Xenopus tropicalis: one gene and its partners. The protein of the gene in region 3 interacts with the protein of the main gene of each other region in a pairwise test. Links are inferred from orthologs where the notes say so. Each region holds a gene or a part of one and is shown on either strand. Other genes may lie near its edges.

Region 1 (4,265 bases), on a different chromosome or scaffold from region 3:
CAGGCTGCTGCGGCACTGGCGCTGGGTGGGGGCCACCGCATCGGCATCCAGAGAGTCATTGAGTTCAGGCTCCACCCCAGGGAGCGTGGGCCCCGCCCTGACCGTAGGCTGCGTGACCAGGGGAGGGGGGCGGGAGGATTTGGTCGAGGCCTCGCCCCCCCTGGAGACCCGGCACAACTTGGACGGACCCTCATTTCCCGAGGCGTCGGCCTCCTCCGCGGTGAATTTGCGCTTGGCCCTCGGGGCTTTGGCCTTGCCGGGCAGCGGCCGCATTACAGAGCCCGACACCTTGTCCAGATGCTCCCGGACCAACCTGTACTCAAACTCAGCACTTTCCGCGTTGGGTGGGGGCACCCCCAGTTGGATGAGGGCCCCCTCGCTCAGGGTGTAGGCCTTGTGGGGCTCCAGTCTCTCCTTGTTCCTCCAAACCCCATTCAGACTCTGGGAAGGGAGAGACATTGCAACAGTGCAGGAAATGAAAGCACCAGACTGGGCTGAATAGGAAAGCAAAGCCCCGCCCAGTCATACCCAGCCCCGCCCAGTCATACCCAGCCCCGCCCAGTCATACCCAGCCCCGCCCAACTGCAGAGCCTGCACCCCCCCAACCACAACCCTACAAATTATACAGAGTCCATTGATTGCTGCTTGGCCGCTATGGGTTACTACTCCTGGGCAATTCAGCAGGAACAGCCCCCTAAGTTTGCCCATAGCCTGTACAGAGAGATACCATAAAACTATGGCACATAGGGATTCCCCTGTACTAAGCACAATTCAGCAGGAACAGCCCCCTAAGTTTGCCCATAGCCTGTACAGAGAGATACCATAAAACTATGGCACATAGGTATTCCCCTGTACTAAGCACAATTCAGCAGGAACAGCCCCCTAAGTTTGCTCATAGCCTGTACAGAGAGATACCATAAAACTATGGCACATAGGGATTCCCCTGTACTAAGCACAATTCAGCAGGAACAGCCCCCTAAGTTTGCTCATAGCCTGTACAGAGAGATACCATAAAACTATGGCACATAGGGATTCCCCTGTACTAAGCACAATTCAGCAGGAACAGCCCCCTAAGTTTGCTCATAGCCTGTACAGAGAGATACCATAAAACTATGGCACATAGGGATTCCCCTGTACTAAGCACAATTCAGCAGGAACAGCCTCCTAAGTTTGCTCATAGCCTGTACAGAGAGATACCATAAAACTATGGCACATAGGGATTCCCCTGTACTAATTACAATTCAGCAGGAACAGCCCCTCACAGACACAGTAGGGGGTGTATCTGGGGGTGCAGGTACCTTGTTATCAGTCACAGTCCACTCGCCCCGGACGTTCTGCTTGAAGAGACAGTGGGTGCGGGAGATCATGAGGGGGCACAGGGTGGGTTTCAGTTGGTAGGTGACCCCCAGGCCTCGGCCCATAGTGACCTGAACACAAACAGAGAAATGAATGAGACGCACAGACCGATATAATCACTGGGGGGTCAATTCTCTGGGCTCCCCCACCCAAACTCATAATGCTCTCTGCACCCCAAGTTTCCCCCAACCAAGGGTCTCTCCCCCAAACCTTCCTCCCCCCCCCCCCACAGTGCCCCCAGGAAACTGCCCCCCCACAGTGCCCCCAGGGAACTGCCCCCCCCCAGTGCCCCCAGGGAACTGCCCCCCCACAGTGCCCCCAGGGAACTGCCCCCCCACAGTGCCCCCAGGGAACAGCCCCCCCCCACACAGTGCCCCCAGGGAACTGCCCCCCCACAGTGCCCCCAGGGAACTGCCCCCCCACAGTGCCCCCAGGGAACTGCCCCCCCACAGTGCCCCCAGGGAACTGCCCCCCCACAGTGCCCCCAGGGAACTGCCCCCCCACAGTGCCCCCAGGGAACTGCCCCCCCCACAGTGCCCCCAGGGAACTGCCCCCCCACAGTGCCCCCAGGGAACTGCCCCCCCCACAGTGCCCCCAGGGAACAGCCCCCCCCCACACAGTGCCCCCAGGGAACAGCCCCCCCCCACACAGTGCCCCCAGGGAACAGCCCCCCCCACACAGTGCCCCCAGGGAACTGCCCCCCCACAGTGCCCCCAGGGAACAGCCCCCCCCCCACACAGTGCCCCCAGGGAACAGCCCCCCCCCCACACAGTGCCCCCAGGGAACAGCCCCCCCCCCCACACAGTGCCCCCAGGGAACTGCCCCCCCACAGTGCCCCCAGGGAACAGCCCCCCCCCCACACAGTGCCCCCAGGGAACAGCCCCCCCCCCACACAGTGCCCCCAGGGAACAGCCCCCCCCCCCACACAGTGCCCCCAGGGAACAGCCCCCCCCCACACACAGTGCCCCCAGGGAACAGCCCCCCCCCACACAGTGCCCCCAGGGAACAGCCCCCCCCCCACACAGTGCCCCCAGGGAACAGCCCCCCCCCACACAGTGCCCCCAGGAAACTGCCCCCCCACAGTGCCCCCAGGGAACAGCCCCCCCCCCACGGAACAGCCCCCCCCACAGTGCCCCCCACGGAACAGCCCCCCCCACAGTGCCCCCCAGGGAACAGCCCCCCCCCCCCACAGCGCCCTCTCTGTTCCTCCAAGAGCCCTGCCCCCCCAAACTCCCCTAAGCCCCCCGGACTGTTTGGCTGCTACAGGCCCCGCCCTCACCTCCTCCCCGTCAGGCAATGGCAGCGACTCCTCGCTCCTCCCGCAGCGCCTCAGGTACCAACACATCCCGGGGCCTCCGTCCGCCATGTCAGGGGCCCGGCCCTTCGCCCCGGAGCAGCCAGATAAACCGAGATGTACAACGGCCGCCTATCCGCACAGCCCCGACCAACCGCAGCCCGAGTTATTCACCCGCCGCCCGCAGGCAGGAACAATCGAGCGCCATCTGTGTAAGGTCTGGGTACGGGTCGCTGTTGGGTCCAAGCGGCGCTTCGGCCTCCGGGGACGTCATGCACACGTGATGCGCCGCGTCCCTCACTCCGAGCGTCTATGAACCGTATAGAAACTGTATATAAACCGTATGTATGAGGTGCGGGAATCCCTCCCGTTACACCGCGCCGCCCGCTCTCACGGATTAGTGATGTTTAATACAATATTCTGCGTTTAAACCGTCCCTTTAGCTCTTGCGCTGACGCCGATCCTGATTGGCCGCTTTGGCGCGACGTCACTGTAATCTCGCGAGAATTCCGACATTTCCCGCCCCGTTATTGGGTTTGTTCAGCTTGGGGTGTTACGGAATAGTATATTCTTAGCAAATTTTCAATTGGTCTTCATTTTGTTTTTATTTTTGTCTACTTGTGTAATTATTTCCCTTCTTCTGACTCTTTGCAGCTTCCAAATGGGGGTCACTGACCCCGGCAGCCAAACCCTATTGCTCTGTGAGGCTCCAGTTTTATTGTTACTTTTCATTATTACATTTCTATTTAGGCCTCTGACCCTATTCATATTCCAGTCTCTCCTTCAAAGCACTGCCTGGTTGCTAAATTCAATTGGACCCTAACAACCAGATAGCTGCCTCTTCCAGCAGTATAAATCTCTCTGCAAGGGCTGATTTATTGAGAAATTCCACCAAAACCCCACTAGCCCCGCCCATCTGTGCCACTTCCTGCCGCCTCCTTTCCCAGGCTGTGCAGGGGGGCGGCGGCACTGTAGGATAGGAACCAATCAGCAGCTAGGCTGACCTGATAGGGAACTGAAGCCTGTCTGTGCTTGTGTGAGTGCAGGGCTGTGATTGGCTCTCCCCCTCCTACTGTGCTTCTGGCAGGGACCGTTAGGACACGCCCACCCCTCATGAAACGCAGACACCAGTGATGTTGCCTATAGCAACCAATCAGCAATTAGAATTTAATGGTCGCCTACAAAAGCAAAGATCTGATTGGTTGCTATGGGCAACGTTACCGATGATGTTGCCCTACACACTATAATAAATATGCCCCAGCTTGGGGTGATTGCGGCAGTTCCAGGTATTTATGTTACAGTCCTTTATTTCCATCCTCAGTGGGTGCGAGCATTGGATCAGTAGCCCCCGCGGGAGACCGTGGCACCATGTGACACTGTGGTCCAATGATAATGCCGCCCTGCCCACTCATCCCTCTTCTTTTATTGGCTCGTGGGCAAAACCTCTCTTTAGTGAGAATCCAAGGGCCACTTACCTGCCTGTAGAACCTTTACAGCTGCCCCCCCCCTCTGGTTTGGGTAAGACTATGGGTGCCCTGGTTCCTTCTCCCCATCTTCCCCCCCCCCCCGCGCCAACAAGCTGACCCTCAATGATTTGCCCCAGGAGGCTGGAGGC
Region 2 (4,097 bases), on a different chromosome or scaffold from region 3:
ACCTTTAAATGGTATCAGTACTGAGATTAACTGCCCCCTGCATTGCTCACACCTCAGATTCAGGCTGTAATCCCCCTGTATTGTTTAATCATGTAATCCCCTGTACTGTTCACACCTTTTAATGCCTTCATTGTTTTCCCCCTGCAGTGTTCACACCTCAGGCTCTGGCTGTAATCACCCACATTGTTCCCCTGTTCACACCTCAGACATTCCCTCTGACACATCCAGCATTGTGTCACTGTATGCTGCCTGTGTGTGCAATAGGGCAGGCATAGTATGGCACACATAGGCAGGGGTGGGAAGGAATAGTATGGCACACATAGGCAGGGGTGGACAGGAATAGTATGGCAGACATAGGCGGGGGGGCAGGCATAGTATGGCACATACAGGCAGGGGAGGGCAAACATAGTATGGCACACATAGGCAGGGGAGGGCAAGCATAGTATGGCACACATAGGCAGGGGAGGGCAGGAATAGTATGGCACACATAGGCAGGGGTGGGCAGGCATAGTATGGCACACATAGGCAGGGGGGGCAGGCATAGTATGGCACACATAGGCAGGGGAGGGCAGGAATAGTATGGCACACATAGGAAGGGGTGGGCAGGAATAGTATGGCACACATAGGCAGGGGGGGGCAGGCATAGTATGGCACACATAGGCAGGGGAGGGCAAGCATAGTATGGCACACATAGGAAGGGGAGGGCAAGCATAGTATGGCACACATAGGCAGGGGAGGGCAGGCATAGTATGGCACACATAGGCAGGGGAGGGCAAGCATAGTATGGCACACATAGGCAGGGGAGGGCAGGCAGAGTATGGCACACACAGGAGGGGTAGGGCAAGCAGTACTCTGCCTGCTCTATGCCTCCCCTATGCTGCCTGTGTGTGCCATACTCTGCCTTCCCTATGCTGCCAGTGCGTGCCATACTCTGCCTTTCCTATGCTGCCTGTGTGTGCCATACTCTCCCTGCCCTATGCTGCCTGTGGAAGGTGAACCTGGCAGGGGTTTGTTCCTGGAGTTTGGCATTTGGATATAGTCATTATATGGTCCCCAAGGGGTGTAATTATATGCTGGGGGGTTGCTGTGCTATCCACAGAAGAGGAGGAGGCATATCGATTTAAGTGTATAATACATAATATAATTCTTTCATATATAAATTAAGGGTGATATCCCTTCAGTGAGCACCAACCATTGGGTTTTTGCTGTGTTGCCACCATTAATGTGGGGATGGTCTTAAAAGCTCTTGTGATAGCATGGGTGTAGTTTGAAGTGGGTGTGGTTTAAAAAAGGGGAGTGGTCAAAAGTGTCTTCCATTATCGGCCCTCCACCATGTAGGCAAGAAAAATTCCGGCCCTCGGTACAACAGAAGTTGGACAGCACTGCCCTAGAATATGTTAGATGGTAATATTTACTTATAAGTAAGTAAATTATCTGTTTGTGAAGTATTTGTTCTGAAGGTATAGTTTTCCATTAAAGAAGTCTTAAAAACTCAATTGGGGAAGTGTATCATGTTTATTCCACAAGGGATGGCTTTTGGATCCTTTTAGCCCTTACTGGTTATTCTGAATACATCCCAAACTCTACAACAGAAGCCATGTTCCAAAAACTGACACCGATCTTGGCAGTAGCTTAGTAATTTGTCTGCAAGTTGGGTTATACAGATCTGAATTTTTAAAGAGTATTTAACATCAAACCAGGGGATTTGGATGCAATTAGGAGCTCATTTTCATGTATCTACACACAACTTTTAAGCAGTCATATAATATTTATGGAACAGTACATCATATACATATTTTCTAGAAGGCCTTGCTATATTTATGTCTGAGGATAAAAGAAAATGCATTTACCTAATTATAGAACGTTTCGCAATCTGAAAATGAAACACTGTGTATGGCTGCTAAAGTGTATGAGTTGGGTTGCAGCAATGTAGCTGACAGCTAAGCAAATGCCTCCCGTGTGTCGGCCCCAGCCACTTCCTGCATGACTAACACTCTTCCCCTTTTTGCACAATCTGCAGGGCAAGTAGTGGCCTGACTAGCTGTAGCCCACCCCTATCCCATCACAAATAAAATAATACCGTATGGCAGTTCTGTGACCGTGTTACATATGATAGGAGCGCTGGGGAAGCAATGAGAGATCCTTGCGCAAGATCACATGAAACAGGTAGAAAGAAAAAGCCCAGCGATCCACCCTCATTTCATCTCTAGGCAATTCCTTCAATATATATACGTGGGCACTGGCACTGGCACGGTAGTGGGGGCGTTCTGCCTTACCAGCGCCAGAGAGATCACATACAGTCAATCGCTGGTGTGTTCATAAGACTAAAAGGCAACATACAGAACATACAATGAGCCCTTAGCTGTAGGGATTCTGGGGGCCGCGGTGCAGCCGGCAATGCTAACGCGGAAGCGTACCTGCACTGGGCCCCAGACATTGGCAACACCGAATCTTATCATTATGGCCATTGGCTCTAAGTAATGCAGGTACCGGCGGGCAAGCCCTGCTCTACCCCAGTTCGCCTCCTGCCCCGAGATCCGGCTGCTCCAACGCAGCATAGAATACGCAGGAAAAAGAAAAAACTCACCGGCATCTTTAACACCCCTGAATATTTGAAAGGAATCCGGGAGACCAAACGTTGTAGTATCTGTACTTCCGCTGTCCCACCCAAGGCTTCGCAAGCAGGAAGTTATAACATTAGCACAGCTAGTGCGTCTCATGGCCGCTAGAGGGCGCCAGCTTAATCGCAGGGAAGGTGAGGCGTCCGTAGCAAAGCGTCCCGGAAGTACAGCAGCGCGACTACTAGGCAGCATTACAGGCAAGGAGGCGCTTCCGGCATGTCTTATTGCAAAGGGACTGTGGGGAACTAGGTGTTCTTGCTCCTTATTGGATCACCTGGGCAGTTTTCAAGTCTGATGCAAGGAGAATGCCGCGATATGCACAGCTCGTTATGGGGCCCGCCGGCAGCGGAAAGGTAATTTCTGGGTTTGGTCTCTCAAAATTGTGGATTTGTATCATACCTTTAATGGGTAACTATAGAGCAGTATTACAGTGTAAGATTTCTGCAGTTCGGGATCCCTTTTCCAGTTTTTCCTGGAGCCTGAAGAAGAGACCTCTCTTGTTTGCTATTAAAAGAAAGTAAAATAATAATTACAGTAGGATGCCTAGGCATGTGCGCAGTACTAACTATATACTGACTATATACTGACACCTACAATTAAACTGTTTTTAATAGCTTATAACATTGTCTTTGCATGAGCTGTATACTTTCTTTTTAAAATGCTTTTACGTTACCAGTACCTCTAGAAGGAGGCTGCCATATTTGTGCAGCAATAGTCTGTAACTGTAAATTCCAATAGGTTGAAAAGGGACAGTCAGGTTGGCAAAATAGTCAGGTTTAGGCCCTTAAAGTAGCAATTCCTTACAAAAGCAGCCTATCAGTAAAATATGACCAACATGACCTATAGGTAAGTTTTTATGTACATAAAAAATAGGTAAGGTTTTTTTTTTTGGTGTCAGTATCACATAAGGTTTTCTAATTTTATGTATTGCATATGAGCAAGTCTAGAATGCCACAAAGGAGCCTTGGCATATGTATAGACCTATGTGTGTCTAATATATTACAACAGTAGAATTTTTTTTTAATTACATCTTTTTGGCAGATGGTGATTATTAATCTTTGTATTTCAGAGCACTTATTGTTCCACCATGGTGCAGCACTGTGGGAGTTTGAACCGATCTGTCCAAGTGGTTAATCTGGATCCTGCAGCTGAGCATTTTGATTATCCTGTATTGGCTGGTAAACCACTCCCTTACATATGTCAGATTATCTTAGTGGAGAAATAACTATTAAATGCTGTTTGCTTAAATATTACAAATAGAATAATGTAACACAGGTGTGCCAATAAAAATGTTTCATAGTCCTGTTTGATAAAGTTATCTCTGCTTCACCAAGTAGAGCATTCTACAGTCTAACCAGTCCCCTGTGAAATAACTATTTGTATTGCTTCGGATGAAAGTGCATTTTCTCTAGTCTAACAGTGAAAATAATTATCTTTTGTTTTTGTTTTTTTAAGATATCCGGGAACTGATTGAAG
Region 3 (4,056 bases):
TAAGGGGGAATGTGACCACTGCCTGAAATGAACCATATATAAATTTTGTGAAGAAGGAAAGACTGCAGAAGCCTTTACGGCAGGGATACCCTACCTTTTTTTACCCGTGAGCCACACTCAAATGTAAAAAGGGTTGAGGAGCAACACAAGCATTAAAAAATGTTCATGAGGGTGCCAAATAAGGGCTGTGAATAGCTGTTTGGTAGTCTTTATGTGGACTGGCAGCCTAAATGTGGCTCTGTACAACTGGTTTTTATGCAACCAGAGCTTGCATCCAAGCCAGAAATTCAAAAATAAGCACCTGCTTTGAGGCCACTGGGAGCAATATCCAAGGGCTTGGGGGTGCAACATGTTGCTCCTGAACCACTGGTTGGGGATCACTGCTTTACGGTAACTGTAAAACAATGCTAAAAAGAACAAAACAGACAGGTAACAATACCACCAATCAAAAGCATCCTTCTGAATTTCAGCTGCTTTGGACCTACAATATCCAGCATCCTTCTGAAAGCAAAGCCAACCTAGGAATACTGAGTGTATGAGTTCTTTAAAGGAGAACGAAAGGCAAAGTCACTTGGGGGTGCCAAAATGTTAGGCACTCCCAAGTGACTTAAATCGCCTACCTTGTACCCTGGGATGGTGCCCCTGTTCGGAGAGAACAGCACTAGCCTGGGGTAGCTGCAGCGCTTCCTCCTTGCTGCTTCGCGTGCGCAGTAGAGCGAAAAGCCGAACTTTAACAGAAAAGTCGGCTTTTCACTCTACTGCACATGGGCCGACCACTGGCATTTGCCGGAAAAGGAAGCAGGAAGCGCTTGCTACAGGTACCCCGGGCTGTTTTCTCCTAAAAGGGGCACCAGCCCAGGGTACAAGGTAGGTGATTAAAGTCACTTGGGGATGCCTAACATTTTAAGCAATGGAAAGCTAGCTTTCTGTTCCTACAGTAACAGCACTACAGCATCAGATACTGTCAAAGAAACTAGGAAGCAAATCTTTAAAAGATATAATAAAATATAAGTATAATGAAAAAAAAAGCTCCAAGGATTCATTTAATGTGCCATAACTTTTCACAACAACATTGCTGTAAAAATGTCCCAGCATTATCTTCTATCAGAGAAAATGGAATGAATAAATGTCGGTCAAGCTATCACTATTGTACAATGTGGGGGAGATTCACCAGTATAGTGTGCTTTCCAAAAAACTGAGATTCACTGTGATTATTCTGAGACAAATTTCCATGTAGTATTAACTTCCATACAGCTGCCAAGGCTAACACAACAAACACAAAGTTCTGATACAACTAAACAAACATTTATTCAGTGCTAGAACCTTTGTGGGCAACCTACAGTACCATATGAATGCATCCATATTTAGCAATCGGGCAAGACAAAGACAATAAAAGATGTATCATTACTATTTATTATTAACAAGCATCTATAAACAGCCATACATCAAACATACAAAATTTAGAAACAATTACTGAGTGATACAGGAGGTAAAGAGGGACCTGCTCAGTACAGCTACCGAACTGAACCGAAAAGGGGATATGAGATGCAAAGTGATATATACAGAAAATGCCATTAATTACTATATAAAAACTGAGTTTAATAGTACTTAGTACAGAGTTTTAAAAATTCTTAATAGAGTCTTAAATAAAAAAAAATTCTATACCATTCACATTATATTCACACACTAAAGTCAATTCAGTCAGTAGTCAATGAACCTGTATCTATATATTTGTTTATTTTTAAATGATTAAATGGGCACCACAAAAATATGCTACATACAAACAAGAAAAATATCAAAAGAGTAACAAACATTCATTGTCATTTACTGTAATTACCACACATCAATACTATAGCAGAATATCAAAAAACAGCAAATTCGCACTAATGTATCTTGTACAATACAGCACTTTTAACACATTTAGGAACTTTTGCTGTAGTTGTAGTTATAACTTCCTGTGTCTGGCTAGCTAAGAATGCTGGTTATAGCTGGTCAACAGCAGGGCAATTAGGTTATATGTATATCTGGCTACTGAGGAATTCAAACCAAACCATAATTGTGGTTATCAGTAACTCTAAGGTAATAGTTCAACAAGCAGGAAGGGCTTTAGCTAAAGAAAGGGCAATACCTTGGTTAGTAATGGCACCCCAAGCACTGTGTACAGCCAATGGAAATAGGGCAGAAATATATTAGCCGAGTTGCCCTATGCCTGGTATATACCAAACCAGCAAGCTGCCACTTTCAACCTGTTAAATAAAATGACCATCATTCGGCAGCCACTGACTGCTGGGGGGTAAAAGTAGCAGCTGGACAACCGGAGTACTACAGGTTAGAAAAATATCCTAGAATAAAAAGCAGCCCAGGAGGTTTAGACACGGAGGGCAGTAGCCACCCTTGCCCAGCATACAAGGAAACATAAAATAAGACTTGGCACCCTGCGGCCCTCCAGCTGCTAAACTACAATTCCCTGTACCAATCAGCCTACTAGGGGTGGGAGTTGTAGTCCTAAAACAACTGGCGAACTGCCCCCATTTGAATAAAAGACAACCGGGCCGCACTCACCACACACTTCTTGCCCAGGTAACTAAAGAGACTTTCATTTTCCTGCGCGGTGAGCAGTATGGAGCCGCTGTTTGTCACCCTTTTGGTCTGCCTGTTGTTGTTATTATTAGGGCCGATATTGTTACTCATGATTAGTGTTGGCAGGGAATCTCTCCCTTCGGTCCCTGCAGAGATTCTATAAGTCAGTATCGCCCCTCAGCGCAGGATCAGGGCCGCTTCATATCCCGGCCGCTTGTCGTCGTGTTGTGGGAGGATCCGGATGACCAGGCTGGCGCTGCTACTGCCTGTGCAGGAGGTGCTCGGCCCCGTAAAGCACTGCGCGCCCTTACAGTAAACTAGGAAGTGCTCGGCGCATGCGTGTGCGGAGGCCTTCGCAATTATCATTATTTAGCCCTTACAAAGCTTCCGCCAGGCTTCGGAGGCCGTGCGGAGCCGCAAGACATCATGGGAGAATGTTTACTCTGCAGTGTAGGCAATGCAGTTCTGTTCTGCTGTTCAGATGCGGAATAATGTGGAACAGGGCTGACTCTAGTTAACCAATAGTTTTACTCTTCTTACATTAATTGACTTGCATAATGTAACGTCTTACTGTCTAACTGCTTGTCTATAGGAACAAATATAGCAGCCAATTCGTATTTCCTCCATTCCCCTTGTCCATCTACCTAGTGTTCCTTCTTCCCCTGACAGATACATTTTATTAATAAAGTAGCTTCTATTTATTTTCCTTATATGTTTATATTTTTATCCCTTGGCACTCACATGCTCGCACCTGCGGAATTTTAGAGGGTGAAGACACACAGAGCTACTAGAAGCAGCTACTTGTCACTGCTACAAAACTAGACAGTGCTGACCATTACTGATAATTGTCTCTACTTGTGTTTTAGCAGAGGCAATTCTCTGTATTGTCTAAGGCGGGGTATTTTATGCCATTTAGTAGCCCTGACAAGTAGCTGCTACTAAGTAGCTCTGTGTGTCTGTGTAATTCACTTTAAAATTAACGTTTACCTTTACTCAGTGCTATTCTTAGACAATTTGCAATAAGTCTTAGTTTGTTTTTTGTTTTTTTTTTTTGCAGTTTTTGAATTATTTAGTTTTTTGTTGAGCAGCTCTCCAGTTTGGAATTTCAGAAGCTATCTGGTTTGTAGGGTTCAATTTACCCTAGCAAACAGGTAGTAGTTGCTGCAGGGGTATTGGTGCCATCTGTTCTGGAAAAAATGATAACCCTTCTCATGTATTTATCTTTCTTCCCTAATAATAACATGGGGATCAAGCATGATTTTTACCCCTTGGTGCTGCTTTTCAGAAAAAAATACACCACTTTAGGAAACTTTCTTAAGCAGTGCTGCTCCTCCATCTTACTCGATTTTCGAAAGTGTCCCTTCCATAGACTTGGCAGATTGGACTAAGTAATAGGAAGCAAACCAATGCTTAACCTGACCAAAAACAAAAGCTTTACATACATTAGAATTGTTAATGTCAATCAATGTGATATAT

The links.
Region 1: the proteins of wasl (region 3) and rnf8 interact in binary tests that used the Homo sapiens proteins (3 or more experiments, as listed by UniProt). The two-hybrid records come from large-scale screens. The link is inferred for Xenopus tropicalis from reciprocal best matches to the Homo sapiens genes WASL and RNF8.
Region 2: the proteins of wasl (region 3) and arpc3 interact in binary tests that used the Homo sapiens proteins (3 or more experiments, as listed by UniProt). The two-hybrid records come from large-scale screens. The link is inferred for Xenopus tropicalis from reciprocal best matches to the Homo sapiens genes WASL and ARPC3.

Annotation. Positions count from the first base shown.
Region 1 is NC_030681.2:2,801,102-2,805,366, reverse strand, and holds the start of rnf8 (E3 ubiquitin-protein ligase RNF8), read right to left. Parts: upstream 2,801-4,265; 5' UTR 2,723-2,800; coding exon 2,636-2,722; intron 1,428-2,635; coding exon 1,299-1,427; intron 442-1,298; coding exon 383-441; coding exon of another isoform or gene 1-382. UniProt on the Homo sapiens protein: E3 ubiquitin-protein ligase that plays a key role in DNA damage signaling via 2 distinct roles: by mediating the 'Lys-63'-linked ubiquitination of histones H2A and H2AX and promoting the recruitment of DNA repair proteins at double-strand breaks (DSBs) sites, and by catalyzing 'Lys-48'-linked ubiquitination to remove target proteins from DNA damage sites.
Region 2 is NC_030677.2:162,793,703-162,797,799, forward strand, and holds the start of arpc3 (actin-related protein 2/3 complex subunit 3), read right to left. Parts: upstream 2,801-4,097; 5' UTR 2,594-2,800; coding exon 2,588-2,593; intron 1-2,587. Other genes in the region: gpn3 (GPN-loop GTPase 3), read left to right, coding at 2,927-2,974, 3,691-3,799, 4,077-4,097. UniProt on the Homo sapiens protein: Component of the Arp2/3 complex, a multiprotein complex that mediates actin polymerization upon stimulation by nucleation-promoting factor (NPF).
Region 3 is NC_030679.2:70,363,222-70,367,277, forward strand, and holds the start of wasl (neural Wiskott-Aldrich syndrome protein), read right to left. Parts: upstream 2,801-4,056; 5' UTR 2,692-2,800; coding exon 2,563-2,691; intron 1-2,562. UniProt on the Homo sapiens protein: Regulates actin polymerization by stimulating the actin-nucleating activity of the Arp2/3 complex. Involved in various processes, such as mitosis and cytokinesis, via its role in the regulation of actin polymerization.